2 linked regions of the Drosophila melanogaster genome follow. The protein of the gene in region 2 purifies or fractionates together with the protein of the main gene of each other region. This does not show direct contact. Each region holds a gene or a part of one and is shown on either strand. Other genes may lie near its edges.

The links.
Region 1: the proteins of msl-1 (region 2) and JIL-1 purify together in Drosophila melanogaster (affinity purification with western blotting; 2 studies listed by BioGRID). This does not show direct contact.

The regions. Positions count from the first base shown.
Region 1 is NT_037436.4:11,090,194-11,095,173, forward strand, and holds the start of JIL-1 (JIL-1 kinase), read right to left. Parts: upstream 3,001-4,980; 5' UTR 2,079-3,000; intron 1,664-2,078; exon of another isoform or gene 1,580-1,663; 5' UTR 1,447-1,579; coding exon 705-1,446; intron 1-704. Other genes in the region: Iyd (iodotyrosine deiodinase), read right to left, coding at 3,240-3,946, 4,002-4,158; CG46439 (uncharacterized protein), read right to left, coding at 4,300-4,980. UniProt on the Drosophila melanogaster protein: Phosphorylates 'Ser-10' of histone H3. May regulate gene expression by establishing or maintaining the structure of more open chromatin regions. Also required for normal polytene chromosome structure, for oogenesis and for viability throughout development.
Region 2 is NT_033779.5:18,682,082-18,691,698, forward strand, and holds msl-1 (male-specific lethal 1), read right to left. Parts: upstream 6,720-9,617; 5' UTR 6,345-6,719; coding exon 5,106-6,344; intron 5,046-5,105; coding exon 3,165-5,045; 3' UTR 1,639-3,164; downstream 1-1,638. Other genes in the region: CG31751 (uncharacterized protein), read left to right, coding at 184-308, 364-1,184; CG10336 (uncharacterized protein), read left to right, coding at 7,713-8,636; CG10383 (uncharacterized protein), read right to left, coding at 9,036-9,617. UniProt on the Drosophila melanogaster protein: Component of the male-specific lethal (MSL) histone acetyltransferase complex, a multiprotein complex essential for elevating transcription of the single X chromosome in the male (X chromosome dosage compensation).

The sequences.
Region 1 (4,980 bases), on a different chromosome or scaffold from region 2:
AACAGCTGTTGTGAAAACCTCTTGACAAAAACGTTTACTTCAAAAAGGTGTTACTTTCCACACCAAAATCCAGACCAATGTCCTCAGTAAATAATATTTATTTAAAAATGCAACCGAAAAGTGTCAAATTTAACAAATAACAAGCAGCAACAATAGGTTTTCGACCCACGGTTATCAAATTAGACATTTGGGTGGTGGATATTCTGTCTGCTTTGTGTATATGTATGTAGAGTGTGGTGAGAGGTGAGTACGGCGAGGTTGGGCGATTTCAGGGGAGGTCAGTAGTTTTGGATTTGGCCCAAAGAGCGAACAAAGCCGGGTTGAGTTTTCTGGGTAATCGTGTCAAGGTTAAATGCATGTGCTCCACTTTAACAAAGAACGATAGAGACGGCACTTCATCTGGCATTGACCAGCCACCCTCTGCCGACATTTCAATAAAACCTTGAGACATCCACCCGGTTAAAGTTATCAATTATTCCACCACACTACCATGTTTGATAAGCTCTGTGGCAGCTGCCTTAAAATGGCATGAAATATTCACAGGGAAGAAGTTGCGGTTTAATTTGATATGGACGGAATTATTAAACTATCATATTTAACATAAGTACATCCTGACCTGCAACTTGTAACAAATTTTCTTATCTAGCTTGTGCTTGCAGTTGGCCCGGTCTTCTTTATCACTATCATTGAGTGGAATGACTCACCGTAGTATTTCAGATCGGTGACCGCCTCCAGGTCCCGTTGATGGGCCTCATTGTCCAGATCAAGGGGTGTACTATTGCTGGTGGGCATGGCGTAGGAGGGCGTGGTCGACGAGGAGGCCTTCGAGGCTGCTGCTGCCGCTGCTGCAGCCGCCGCCGCCGCCGCTGCAGCTGCATTGTTGGACTTGGCCTTGGACAAGCTGGAGCTGGATTCATCGATCTCTATCCCGTTCGGCTCATCCTCCTCCATGTCCTGGTCGTAGTACTCCCGCTCGGGATCGCGTCCGTCCTCGCTCTCCGCATCCGATATGCAAACAATATCCGCCACATTTGTGGTGGGCGGGGATGGAGGTGTGGGCGGTGATATGGTCTCGCGGTAAGTGTAATCCCTTGCAGATGCTGAAGTGGTCTTGCTGCTGCTATTGGTGTACTGACCGTTGGTGGCACTGATGCTGTTGTTGTTATTGTTATTATTATTGTAGTTCAAGGTCTTTCCAGAACCAGAGCCGGATCCCTCCGTATTCAGTTTGGACTTTTTCCCATTGGTCATCGTTTCGGAATTGCTATTCTTTCGCGTTTTGCCATTGCCATTGGCTACCAGCTGGCCATTTAGATGATTCCGCACCATTTGATCTGGCTCCTCGTAGGCTAGTGACTCCGATTCACGGGGATGTTGATGATTCTTGAGGCGCGACGTACTTGTACCGCTTAAGATCTCGTAGTTTTGCTTTTGCAAGCGACTCATGGCTAGATTCTTCCGTAAAAGATCCTATGCCTTTAATAATGCTCTACGTGCTCCTCACGTAATCGATGGATATTCCAGGAATTAACAAATAAAAATAAAAAGGTCCAGGGACTGATCGTGGCGCATCGTTGAGCTGGAAAAACAGAAATCAAAGTAAAGACATTTTTTCGAAAATCGCTAACAATTTGTAGACAATCATTAAACTTTTTGACACATTCTTATATGAGTACTGACATAAAGTTGTCATTTTGGCTAGCTAGACTGTTTTATTGTTGTAGTATTTTTAATTAGAAACTGAATTAGTTTTTTCTATTCATGGATGTTCAACAATGCATAGACAACATGTACGATATAAATGTTCCAGTTCACACATTTTAAATACTAAATAAATAATAACTGAATTGTTGAAATTTATTCCGCAAGATGTTTTGAACATAGCTGTTTCTTATTGTGTTCTATTTAGGCAATCTTCACCGTACCTTCCCAATGCCCATTGCCCATTTCTATCCCATTTCTTCATCCACAATATGGTACAGTTTCAACGCAGGCGGGAGTAATTTTCCCGCTGTTAGCGGACAATTGGATGGGGAAACTCATTTCTGAATAGAACACTATTTGGGAGTTCGACTCACCTCGCGAAAGATTATAAGCGCAATATTATAATGCAGACGAAGAAATCCGAATCGGAGTGTGTGTGTGTGTGAGTGGGTGGATCTGGATGGGGAGGGGGAAGAGTGTTGGATTATGCGTGGGGCGGTAGCGATGTGCAACACTGAACGTTCCAATGATAATGTGCACCGATTTATGCAGCACTGGCGTTGGCTTAAATATTATTCAACCAATTCGGTTGCGGTTTCTTTTCATTCTTCTTTTTTGCTTGTTATATTATGCCGTGATTATCACAATCTTTATCAGTCGCGCATTTTTCACTTCCACAGTTAGTTTTTTATTTTTTTTTTTCGATTTCTTATTCTTTACCGTTCTCTTTGCCCACAACTACGTACACATATGCACACTCACACGCTGGCACTTTCTGTATCGGCTGCGTTTTTAAAGCGTTTTTGTTTTCGTCCGCTGATTCCGCTCCGGCGACTGTTGCTCTCGATTTTCAATGGATTTTCCAATTTCCCTGCGTACGCTTGTACTTGTTTTTCAATAGACAATACAGTAACGTTTTGATATTGAGATTGAATGTTTTGTATAATTTGTTTTGTGTTACACGAGAAGGTTTTTACCGCCGCTTTCTACTCGTTTACGCACACACACATTGAAACGCAGGACGCTCTCCGCCATCTGCTTTGCTCTCATTCGTGAACACTTATTAGGTACGGACCACCTTGATGGGAATCGCGTCGATTTCCGTTACACTCGATCAAATCGGGTTTATATCTGTATTATAGTACAATATAATACAATTAAAATCGAGAGAGCCCTAAAACGATTAATGCCGGATAATTGGCTATTTGTAATTTCAACACACAGCACACGAACCGCACGTAGAAATTTTCCCTTTGCTTTTGTGTCACTTACCGTAGCTATCGTTATCGATAGTGTTGACAAGAGGCCAAAAAGCGTGGTGCTGGAAAGCAGCCGTATATCGGTTGGCAGGGATGGTGGAGACTATCGTTTCAAATATTTAAGAATATTATATTTTGATTAACAATTATAATGAAGAATAAATTTAAGGAAAATGTGAAAATTTCGTTTATCAATAGAAAAAATATAAGAATTACCATAAATTTTAGTTTGGTTTTATTGAACTATTTCGTAAGCTGCACGGACGTAAATAAACCTTAAAAAGTAACCATAATATTTGACAAATTCTTTCTCGCCAAGTCGGGAACTGTGCATCCATCTTTCGGATAACCAACGGGCAGTAGGATGAGTAATTTTTCATTGACGGGTCGCCCGAGCAGGTTTCTCAAGGCTGGACCGCAGTTCAAAGGAGTGGTGACCAGCGATGCGAGTCCTGCCGCTTGAAGGGCACACAAAAGGATACCGGCCGCAATCGAAGTGGATATCTCGTTGTAGTAATGCCTCCTCATTCGCTTTCCATTCTCCGACAATCCATAGGTCTGCTTGAAGATCAGTATAAGGTACGGCGCCTCGGTGAGATACTCCTTGACATGATTGGTTTGCAGGGGTCGCAGATCGGTGACCCACTGCGGATGCATCCTCTGGCTGTAGTTGACCAGCTCCTCCTGTTCCACAATTTCCCGAATGGATCGCTTGAGTTCCGGCTCCTGTACGACGCAGTACGTCCAGGGTTCTGTGTGTGCGCCACTGGGAGCTGTTCCCGCCGCCCGAATGCAGTCCTCTATCACGCTGAGATCCGGTTTGGGATGGCTATTAAAGGAGCGAATGCTACGGCGTCCACGCATGAGTTCATATAAGCGTTTGGCTCCATTAGGGTTGAGATTCTGGCCGGGAACGAAGGGCACATGGGGCTTATCCTCCAGAGCCGGTTGCAGTTCATCGCCAAGATCGGCAAAGTGTTCAACTGGAAAATAGAATAGAATAGCTTTATGTTCACCGTGGATAATCTTAAAACTTACCCTCCTCCTCGACTTGTTCATCTAAATTATATGTTTTTAATACGCGATTCCCTTTAAAAAACAATCTTTTTACGATCCATATCAGCGCCAGAGTGATAAATAAACTTGGCCAATGCTTGAGTAGCTTGGAGCTGCTGATCAGTTCGTCCACATCCATGGTGCTTCAAGATGTAACTGCTTTTGCGACGGAGAGAAAGTGGCTTTGCTTTTGCGCTCGGATTGGCTTATCACTTGGTTAAGTGGGTCACGGCTATTGCTGATAGCGATGGATGCTGGTGGATGGGTTTTGGTTTCCACTTCAGTTGTTGTTCCGGCAGCAGTAGGTGCAATGGCTGCCCTTGTGATGCTCGCACATCCTCTGTTGTCCCTTTTCGTGGGCACTCCTATCCGACATGCATTTTGGATTCTTAAGCATCTGATTGGGCTCACCCGGTTTTCGTTTTTGCGGCGGAATCGGTCGGCGTGTATTGTTGAGTGGAATGGCCTTCTGGTGAACCAATTGGCGCTTGTGCACCTCTCTCAGAATCTCGATGATCCGCCACTTGGCATCGAAGAATATAAAATCGGGAGCAGTGGTTAGCTCGGTACGTATCATATCGCAAAGCATCTGCACTTGCTGGCTATTCGCGGATTCCTGACCGGATGGTTCCTTCTCCATCAAGTGAGCCGGTTCTTTGCTGGATTCAGAAATATCTGAATTTTGCGGACTGGATACGGAATTTCGCGTAGATTGTGGTGGTGTTTCCCGACACGGGGGTTCACACTTTGAATTTTCGGCTATCCAGGGGCAGGAAACTGGGCTTTGTGAGGATTCCACTTCCGGCTTGCAGGGACAGGTCAAATTGGTGGATACTAAATCCTTCTCATGGCTGGACATCTTGCAATTGGAATGATGATGACTGGTTTTATCCTTACTGTTTTGTATGTTCTTCTGCTCCGATGGAGAGAGTGCGTCTTTCTGTTCCTGATCCTCCAACCC
Region 2 (9,617 bases):
GAATTGCCATTCACATGGAACGCATATGTCTATCATTATCCAACACTTGGATTTTAAAAATAATTCAATATTTCTAACAGATATTATTTTGTATTTTTATGAATGTGGCGCTTTGTTATGCCTCATTTTTTATTTACTCCTTAAGATAAGTAATTTCCTATTGAATACATTTCCGTATTGCAGTAATGTTAAGAACCCCCTCATTGTAACCCACTGTCCACACGGATACGTCCTGAAAATCCTCAACTCACTGGACTCTAAGAAAGAGGACTTCGTGGATGCCCAAAACCAGATGCTGCTTTACTTGGGTAAGAATTGCTAGCCAAATCATCAGCAAATTGACAATGCAATCGTATTCCCTAGGAAAACACAGTGTGAAATGCCCACGACCAGTAGCCAATGCAACAGGAAAGTATTACTCTGTGGAACGGCTGAATGGGAATTCGAATGTGGTGCGACTGCTGGAATTTATACCGGGAGAAATCTTCCACCAGGTGCCGGTGACGAAGCACCTGCTCTACCGCAGCGGCGAATACTTGGCCAGGTTGGATCGAGCCCTCAAGAACTTCACCCACCAGGCATATGAAAGCCACAAGACCTTGTGGATGCTTCAGAGTGTTCCCGAGCTTAGGCAATTCCTGTACGTGGTGAAGGATCAGGAGCAGCGGCTTATCTGCGACGAGGTGATCGATGCCTTTGAAGCCAAGGTTCTGAGCCAACTGCCATCCATGGAGCACCAGATCATCCATGGGGACTTCAACGAACAAAATATAGTGGTGGAGCAGGTGCCCAATCAAACTGAATATACCATCAAGGGAGTTATTGATTTCGGTGATACGAGCAAATCGCCACTGATCTTCGAAATTGGAATTGCCCTCACTTATATGATACTGCAGGCCAACGATTTGGCCAATGGTGGCATATTTCTGTCCGGTTATACCAGTCTGAACCCAATTGAGAATTCCGAGCTGGCCCTTCTCAAGTACTGTGTTACTGCCCGATTTGTTCAGAGCCTGGTAATGGGACTCTACACCCACACGCTGCATCCCACAAATGAGTACCTCCTGGTGACCCAGGAAAAGGGATGGAAGCTCCTTCAGAAGCTGTGGCGCGAGAGCTTTGACGATATTGATGAGCTGTGGGCAAGCACTGGACACCAGTACTTGACGCAGAGCAATAAATAATATAAAATTCCGTTAGGCTTTTCCGTTTTTTAAAGGTATTTTAACTGATTTTCAATCCAGCTATTCTGGTTGTTGAAGATTTTGTATGTTATGTTTTCCATTAGGTAACGAGGGTCAGATAAAATTGTCACAGCCAATATATAGAGTATAATGAAGCATTTTCTAAGATATTAAATACATTTGCAATTAGCCCCTAAACAAGTTTATATCGAGATGATCGCAAACAAAAAGACATCTAAGGAAACCAGAAGCAAGCGATGCCAGGTCATTGGAAAATCAATTGAGGCCTGTTAAATAAACCCATTGTCAATTATTAGAATTTCATTTACATATCACCTGTGCAAAATAAGTTGCAAGTCCAAGTATTGATTGCATTTCGTTGCTTTACAATTTACTTTATCCTGTATATTATTATCGTTATCTTTACAATAAAACTTGTTAAACAAATACAAATACATTGTATGTAGTACATTTATTCTTACAGTAGGTGAGTTTGTTTAGGGCTCTACAATGGTGGCAATTAATTTCGAATTGATTTTTAGTTGAAGCTTCAGTAAATTGAACTATTTAACGCTAATTACATTGAATGGTGTAAAATGGTGTTGAACGAAGTTCATCCACCCTCCGCTCCTCCTTTTCCTGGACAATGTACATCGTATCGTATTTACTTTGTTACATTATAATTATCTCTATGCGTTTGGGTACAGTGCCTACTTAACGCTATATTACAAGTAACCGACTTTACACCTATCGAAATGTACAAAAATAAGACGCCACTCGAAAGCGAGCTGGTGATTTGATTTCTCCGGACGTTGGCAGGCTCCATATCATTGCGACAGAAAGTCAAACAGAAGAAGTGTTAAACGAAACAATATTTAGCCAAAAATACATGGTGCCCATAAGGCCAAACGGGTGTGCAGTTCGGGAATCAGTTTTATATTTATTCTTCAAATCTAGTTTTCATCTTAACGGCCTTTCTTGTTCGATACAACATAAAACAAGTTTAATGAAGTTAATAAAATAAAACAATAGATCCAATGTATAATTTGATTACTCGAAGCAGACAACCACTCGCACTCAATTTTTACACAATCAAATCCTAAAAAAAAAGACAAATTATCAGAGATATACCTGAGTAACTCTTTGCAACACACACGTTGTCTGCATTCGAGAATCGACAGATATAACAGTATAAACAAAGACAAAAAAAATGGTTATAAGGGCTAAAGAAAAAAAATATTTAAAAATATAAGTCTACGAATTTCATTGTTTTTCTCCAAAAAAATGCCCAATATAACTTATGTGAATATCTTTCGTGTTCTTATCACTTTAGTGCGGGCGATTTTAAAGGTGATAAAGCTGAGATGAGTTAACCAATCTAACTAAGCGACTGGTTTGAATTACATGCTGTGTGGGACTAAGTAATTTACGTACATTGGAAACAAGCAAGGGTGAAACTCTTTTCAATTGCAAGACGTTAACTAAAAACTAATCATTTCCAGACCAGGCGACGAACATTTGGATTCATTTACATCTAATATAAGATCGAATTATTTATATTTCAAGGAAATAAATATGATAACAATTTAATAGAAAAATGTTTGAATAGGACAGCTCAATTTACTTGCCTTTTAAGATCTCTCATCGCATAAGAAACGACAAAACTTTGACATAAATTTATAGATTCTATAACAAAGAATTTCTAATGTTCCAGAATTCAGCGTTCCGTTCATTTTATTACACAAATAAAAACGGACAGTTGAGGAACCATATATACAATAAACATCGTCTGCTCTGGATTATTTGACTTCTAGACGATCTGTGGTAATCGTTACTGTTAACTCTGGTGCTTTCACGTTAAGCTTAAGAAATAATTCATGATTTAAAACTGAAAATCATTAGTATGTCAAACGCAACGACTTCCCCCAACCGACAGTCTTCTGCTTAGCTCCAGTATCAGATCCCCCAGGCGTTTCCTGGCTAACGATTCTTCTGGCGCTTGCGTCGCTTGGGAAACACGTAGGAGGAGTGATTTTCTTGATGCCTCGCCTCGGCAGCAGTGGTGGGTATTTTTTTGCTAGCCAACGTTGCCACCGGCTCAGCCAGTGCCTTGGACCTGGCTATGGAGGTTGGCGCTTCGATTGCATCCACCCAAGGCACACCGAAATCATCCCGCGCCTCCATGTTGACCACGTTTTCGCCGAATGCCTGAACTGTCACCTCGTTGACGAATTGGATGGCCTCTATGTCCTCGGGCAGCGGGTAGAAAGTGGAGGCGCGCAGAGGATCCAGCGCAACCAACACCTCGTCTTGGTTCCGTCGCATCCGAAGCTGTTCAAGCCGTATCTGCTCCTTCATATAACGTGCATCCCTACACTTTCGATCGACCTCATCCTTCACATATTTCTGGTGCCGGCGCTCGAAGGTCGCATCGCTCAGTAATTCTGTGTCAATTTTATCCGAACTGGGTGGCACTGGGACATCCCGCCACTTGGGTATCTCCAGACTAGGGTTATCCGCCAGCAGCTCGTCGGCCTCCTCCAGGAAGAACTCGTTGTCACAGTGGAACTCCTGATCCTCCCACGTTCTCGTGCTGTACGGAAACGTGGCAGTGCGGAATCTGGACTGCAGTTTTCCCGATCTCGCCGTTGCCTTGCTGTACGTGTGGGGTGAACAGTTGTTTAGCGTTTTTCGGATAGTCGAAGTGGTGCTGCTAACACTGCTATTAGATTGAGGTGTCAGAGGAGTTGCTATTTGTTCAGCTGCCTTGGATTTCGATTTTGCTGCAGATATTTCCTGGTCCATTGAGGATGTAACCGCATGCTGTGGCGTTGAGCCAGGCGTTGGTGTCGTTGACGGCGTAGGCGCTGGGGTTATTGTTGTTGAGGATACTGGTGCACTGGGTGGTGGATATATTAGATTTGTGGCGACTCTCTCTCTTATTTTCTTGAGCGTAACCTGTGACGAATGACTCTGGCTTAGGAGCTCCTTTTTTAAATGTTCCGCCAGTTTTCTTCTAACTGTTTCCACATCTATTTCTTGATCTGGGCTCTGAGACGTTTCCGACGTGGTCTTTTTATCATTGACCAACATACTTTTACTTTTAATGGTTTTCGTCTCGGGCGTCGAAACTGGATCAACGTTCTTTTGTTTCCGAATATCAGACGGGGCGGAGGAGCCGGTTCTCATGTCAGGATGCATTTCATACTGCCTGATCTTAACCTGCAAACGCTGCGTTTTTACAGGATCCGTTTGCGTCTTGGTGGACTGATGGTTGGCTATTACTTTTTGAGCGGGAGCGTCTTTTATGTCAGCGGTGTTTGCCTTGGGCAACGTGCTTTCTCGAGAGGATGTTTTCGTAACCTTTGGGGCTACCGCTTTCGGAAGGTGCTTAGGTGCATCCTCTGGTTGCCTTTTCAGAGTTTCCTTCTGTACCTTACGAACATCCTCTTGTGGTTCCACGCGAACATCCAGCTGCCCATCCTGCCTCTGTTCGTCTTTGGGCTGGTCCTTCGGTTTTAAGTCCGGCTTGGGAACTTCCAACTGATTCTTTATTGCATTATGATCAACGATGGCATCTTCCTGATGCGGCTGCTGCTTGGGTACTTCTGGGGACTCGGGGACTGATTCATGTTCCTTATCCTTTTTCTTAAAAGCCACCCACTTCGGGAGAATCGGCGCTTCTAATGCATCTACCATTGGCTCAGGCTTTAGTTGCAACAACTTTTCAGTTATCCGATTCTGATTTCCTTCTTTCCTTATCTCTGCCTGTGTCGAAGACTTCTGCTGGTGATTGGGAGTTGAATGGGCCGAAGGCGCACAGGTCTTCTCCTCCGTCGGGTCCAATTCCAAAAGGTAATTCTGAAAGAGTAAAGGATTGCTCGATATATTCTTTTAATTAAATAATAACATTAAACATACCTGATTCTGCCAGAGCTCTTCCTCAGTTCTGGCGTTTACATCCGCATCGCTATGCATCCACGGATAATCATCCTCTTCACTGTCATCGTCTTTATCACTATTCTCGTCATCTTCGTCGTCCTCGTCATCATCCTCCTCGATATGGCCGTTGGCATCCACGGACTGTCCATGCTCCTCCATATCAACCAGCTCTTCGGTGACCACTTCCATTTCAATTGATTCCAAAGCATCATGAAAGATATCGCCTCCAACGACTTCCTCGGTGTGCACTTCTTGCATATGCAGATGATCTTCCTCAGCGACCAGTTGGTCCTCTTCCTGAGATATTTGCTCCTTATGTGCCTCCATCTCGTGCTCCTCTGCTACTTCCGTTTGCTCGTGGATGTGGTGCTCGAAGTCCTGATTCATGCGCTGGAGAATAAACGTGCTCACCTTTTTACCGTTGAATTCACCGCGGCCTTTGCTCTCCGAGCGTTTGCTGGCTGGCTGATTCGTTACCGCTCCAGCGTGATGGTCCAGAGCGGGAGACTCCTTCATGTTGATACCCCTGGGAAGTGCATTCGCGAATTGAGGCTGCGCATCTATCGTTTGTGTGCCCTGTTCCCGCTCCCGAAACACAGTTTGCGTCTCAGCATGACAACGTATCAACTTCTGCTGCGGGGCAGCAGGTGGCAGTGGGGGATCATCGTCGTCGTCGTCATTGTCGTTCCTTCGCTGGTTCTTTCGCCGCAGCTGTTTGCATAGTTCCTGGTTGGCGGCCTCCAACTGAGCAACGGCCTGCTTTAATTCCTCATTCTGCGCCTTCACCACGCTCATCTTAGCGCTTTGGTCGTCCAGCTCCTTGTCCTTGGCCGCTATGCTGTCCGTCTGCTCCTGCATCAGGTTTAAGTTCAACATAACCATGCGCCTCAGGTTGTTGTTCTCCGAGATGAGCTTGACCATATCGGCGCCGGCACACACGGTTCCGCCGGAGGAAGGAGGAGCCATGGCTCCGCCACCATGCTCAGCTGGCAGCGAATGCAAAAGCTTTCGGTAGTTGTTATTACCCCCGCCATGTCCTCCACGACCATTGCCATATTGCTGGCGCTCATAGATCTTCCCGGGATGCTGATGAAGATGCTGCGTCTGATTGGGATGGCCGTGCAGATTCCTTTGGCGGCCACGCGACGGTATGTGGGGATAGGGCGATTCCAAGTAGTTGGCCCGCTTTTTGGGCGGCCACTTGAATCGCTTGTCCATGGCAGTCGAATTGAATCCCGTGCCGTCGGTCCTACGATCTCATAATTCTCCAAATGTTTTTGTTTTGTTTTGGTTTTGTTTGCGTCGCTTGGGGTGCACACAATCTCTTCAGCTGATACGCCGTACAATGCGTAGAATCCCGATTACAATTTCGCACCACACTAAATTTTCCTTGCTCGCCCTCGCAAAAGAACCGCTCTTTTCTTGGCCAGAATCTAATGGATTTATCGTTTTAAACGTGGCGTTCTTATCGCACGTGGTGACCGCATTTAGGCAGCAGTTTTTCGGTTCGTTTTTGAACGTTCTTTCACCGCTTTTTCCACAATTGTCCTCACAATGTAAAGTCGCCCCGAAAATGCTCTTAAAAGTATGGCGTTTTGCTGGCGTTGCCACTTTTCGCCAAAGCGCAGAGTTGATTGGGGGCATAGAGATGGCAATTTGCTGCGATGCACGAGCTGAGCACGACAGTCACGAAGTGAAAATATTTTCACGAAACTGTACTTTGTTGCACATAATAGCTAATAGCTAAGTTAACACGAGCCGACGAACTAGTACAGTTGGCTTAGTGTATGAAACATAATATCAAAGTGCTGAGACAGCATTGGGCCGGAGTCTTTGTTAGCTTTAAGAATCATTTTAAGTTTCAGCTTAAATTTGCAGTTACCAGAATAAAGAGCGGCAGCTCGTCAACTCCGACTAAATGTCGTTAAACACATTTTTATTTCTTACTCTGCCAGACCACAAGGATAGCAGTTAAAAGAGGACAGTTTCTCTCAACGTAAATAATAATCTTCCGTTGCTCCCCGGATAATTATTTTCAATTTTTATGTGGTATGAGTAATTGGAATGAGAAAATAGATGAAAAAGAAACTAGCTAGCTAATAATGTATTGATTTTATTTTATTTTTTTTGGTAATTTTATTACATTACCAACTCCTTTTAAATATTTCACTAAATTTAAATAACTACAATCTTTGGATGAATTATCCTTCCTTGTATAATGGTATAAATATAATAGAATAACAAAAACTCGTGACGCCAATGTGTCGCTTAGTGATAAAAAAAACGTGTCACGCTGCCATCTCTTATGTCTGCTGCCACCAATGCAAAAGCCGGGTTGGCTGTACAAATTACCTTTAGTGCCACCCACTAATGAAAATATGTCTAAGCAAATCAAAATAGCCTTTGGGAAAGACCAAATAGTTATGTAATCGGAAAATTAAAAGAACAAAGAGCTGTTCAGTTGGCAGCCCCCTGTGACTTATGCAAGCGTCGCCTGTGAATGGTAGATAGAGAAGAAGAACAAAAATTGGCGCCAAAATTTTGTTAGATTGTTTATTTGGTATTTAAGTTTCGGCCACTAGTTCTATGGCATCCCTGTTCGGAGATGATGGTGTGGATGACCTATTCAATGACAACATTCCGACTGACCCGGATCAGCTGCCCAGCGATGGCGAAGGCGAAAAGCTGTTTGCGGACGACGAGGACAACGGCGTAGAACCTGGTAGCCAGGATGCCCAGATAGTGGAGCCTAAGAAGCGAGCTGTGAGAAATCCCCGACCGCGACTCACTGTGGAAACACTTCGAGGTCCTCGTGGCATCCAGACCATCGAAGATTATTTTAAGGACATCAAATTCAAGGGCAAGGGTTACGAGAAAACCGATCTCGACGAGGTGCTTCGCCGCCTGCAGCACTGGGGCCATCGTATGTATCCCACCTACACCTTTGACGATGTGCTTAACAATATCGAACGGCTGGGCAAGAAGAAACCCCTCCAAGTGCACATGGCGCGATATCGACTCGGTCAGCTGGAGCAGATGCGCGCCCACGAAGCGGAGGCCCTGGAGGAGGCGCAGGATGAGCAACAGGAAGGTGCCGGCGATGAACCCTTTGATGAGTTCGACGCCCTGCTAGGTGAACAGATTGCCATGTCCAGGCTGGCGCCTCCCAGCCCGCAGCAGTGGAAAATGTCTACTGCTTCCAGTAACAGCACGCTGGCTACTCCGTCATTCTCCCGCGGCAATGCTGTAATGTCCACGCCGTACTCCGGTGTAAATGCGACCTTCGACAGAAGTGGAGCTTCTGTGGCTCCGGCCTTCGATCGGAATGGAGCTCCGTTGGCATCGATGGACATCAGCGACTATGGTCAGCCGCTGCCTCCCTCACAGCCTCCCACGCCGGCGGCTAAGAAATTATCCAACGAACAGATGGCCAGGATTGCGGAAAACCGCAGGCTGGCGCAGGAGCGACTTAAGGCCAAGCAGCAGCAGGAGAGCGGAAGTAAAAGTTAGTGTATATTTATGATATAAAAACGCATATTTTTATAATTTTCAAAGGATAATTTATAAAAATAAATGAATAAGCTACGTTGAAAGTTAATGCGCGGTACTTAATATCTAAATTGATTTTTCTGTACTTCGATCTTTGATGAATATCACTTTAAATATACCCTTAATCGTATTAAAACCACTCGCATTAGTGTTACACATGTATCTTTATTCAAACGTTTTAGTCGGAGACCGAGAATAATAAGTTAGGATTCGGGTGTAAAAAACTATATGGAGTGCTGGAGTATTTACAAAGATGAATGGTCATGATGGTGAGGGTTCGTGTAGAAAATACTTTACAAGTCTTTAAAGACTAGTCGGGATACTATTAGGGTACTGGTGTTTAGTGGGACTTGGCCCATCCTAAGTGCTAAATCTGAGGGCGACTCTGGGCAGCGATTCGAACAGACCCTTGGCTCCCTCCAACAGAGCAGCTACGATCTTGACAAGCACTACATCTTGATTCGAAGTGCTTTGTGACTGGCCATCCTGATCTTTGGGATCTGATCGTTCCTTAATGGCCTCGCGGATCACGTGCAATAATCTCTGATACAGAAACGATTGCCTGTAAATGGGCTTGGAGAGACTCAAGTGATCATCCTTCAGCAGATAGAAGTCCCCGAAATCTATCTTAGAGGACTCTTCGGTGACAATGCGCAGGGGGAACTTGAACGAGGTCAACATGGTAGGGGATCCTTCAGCTACACTGACCACCTTTACATGGCGCAGTAGCGTGTGCAAGCACCCCATAAAGCGGCGGTGCATCTCCAGCAGCTTCGGCGAGTTCTCTTCCATCTCTTTGACCTCGATTGATGGAGACAGGATCATCTGCATGTGCTGCTTCCACTTGGCAATTGGTGAGCCCCGGTGTGGGGTTCCCAAAAATACAATGCCTTTAGTGTTCTTGGTCAGCTGTTGGACCTTCGGCTCTTGGGAGTCCAGGGA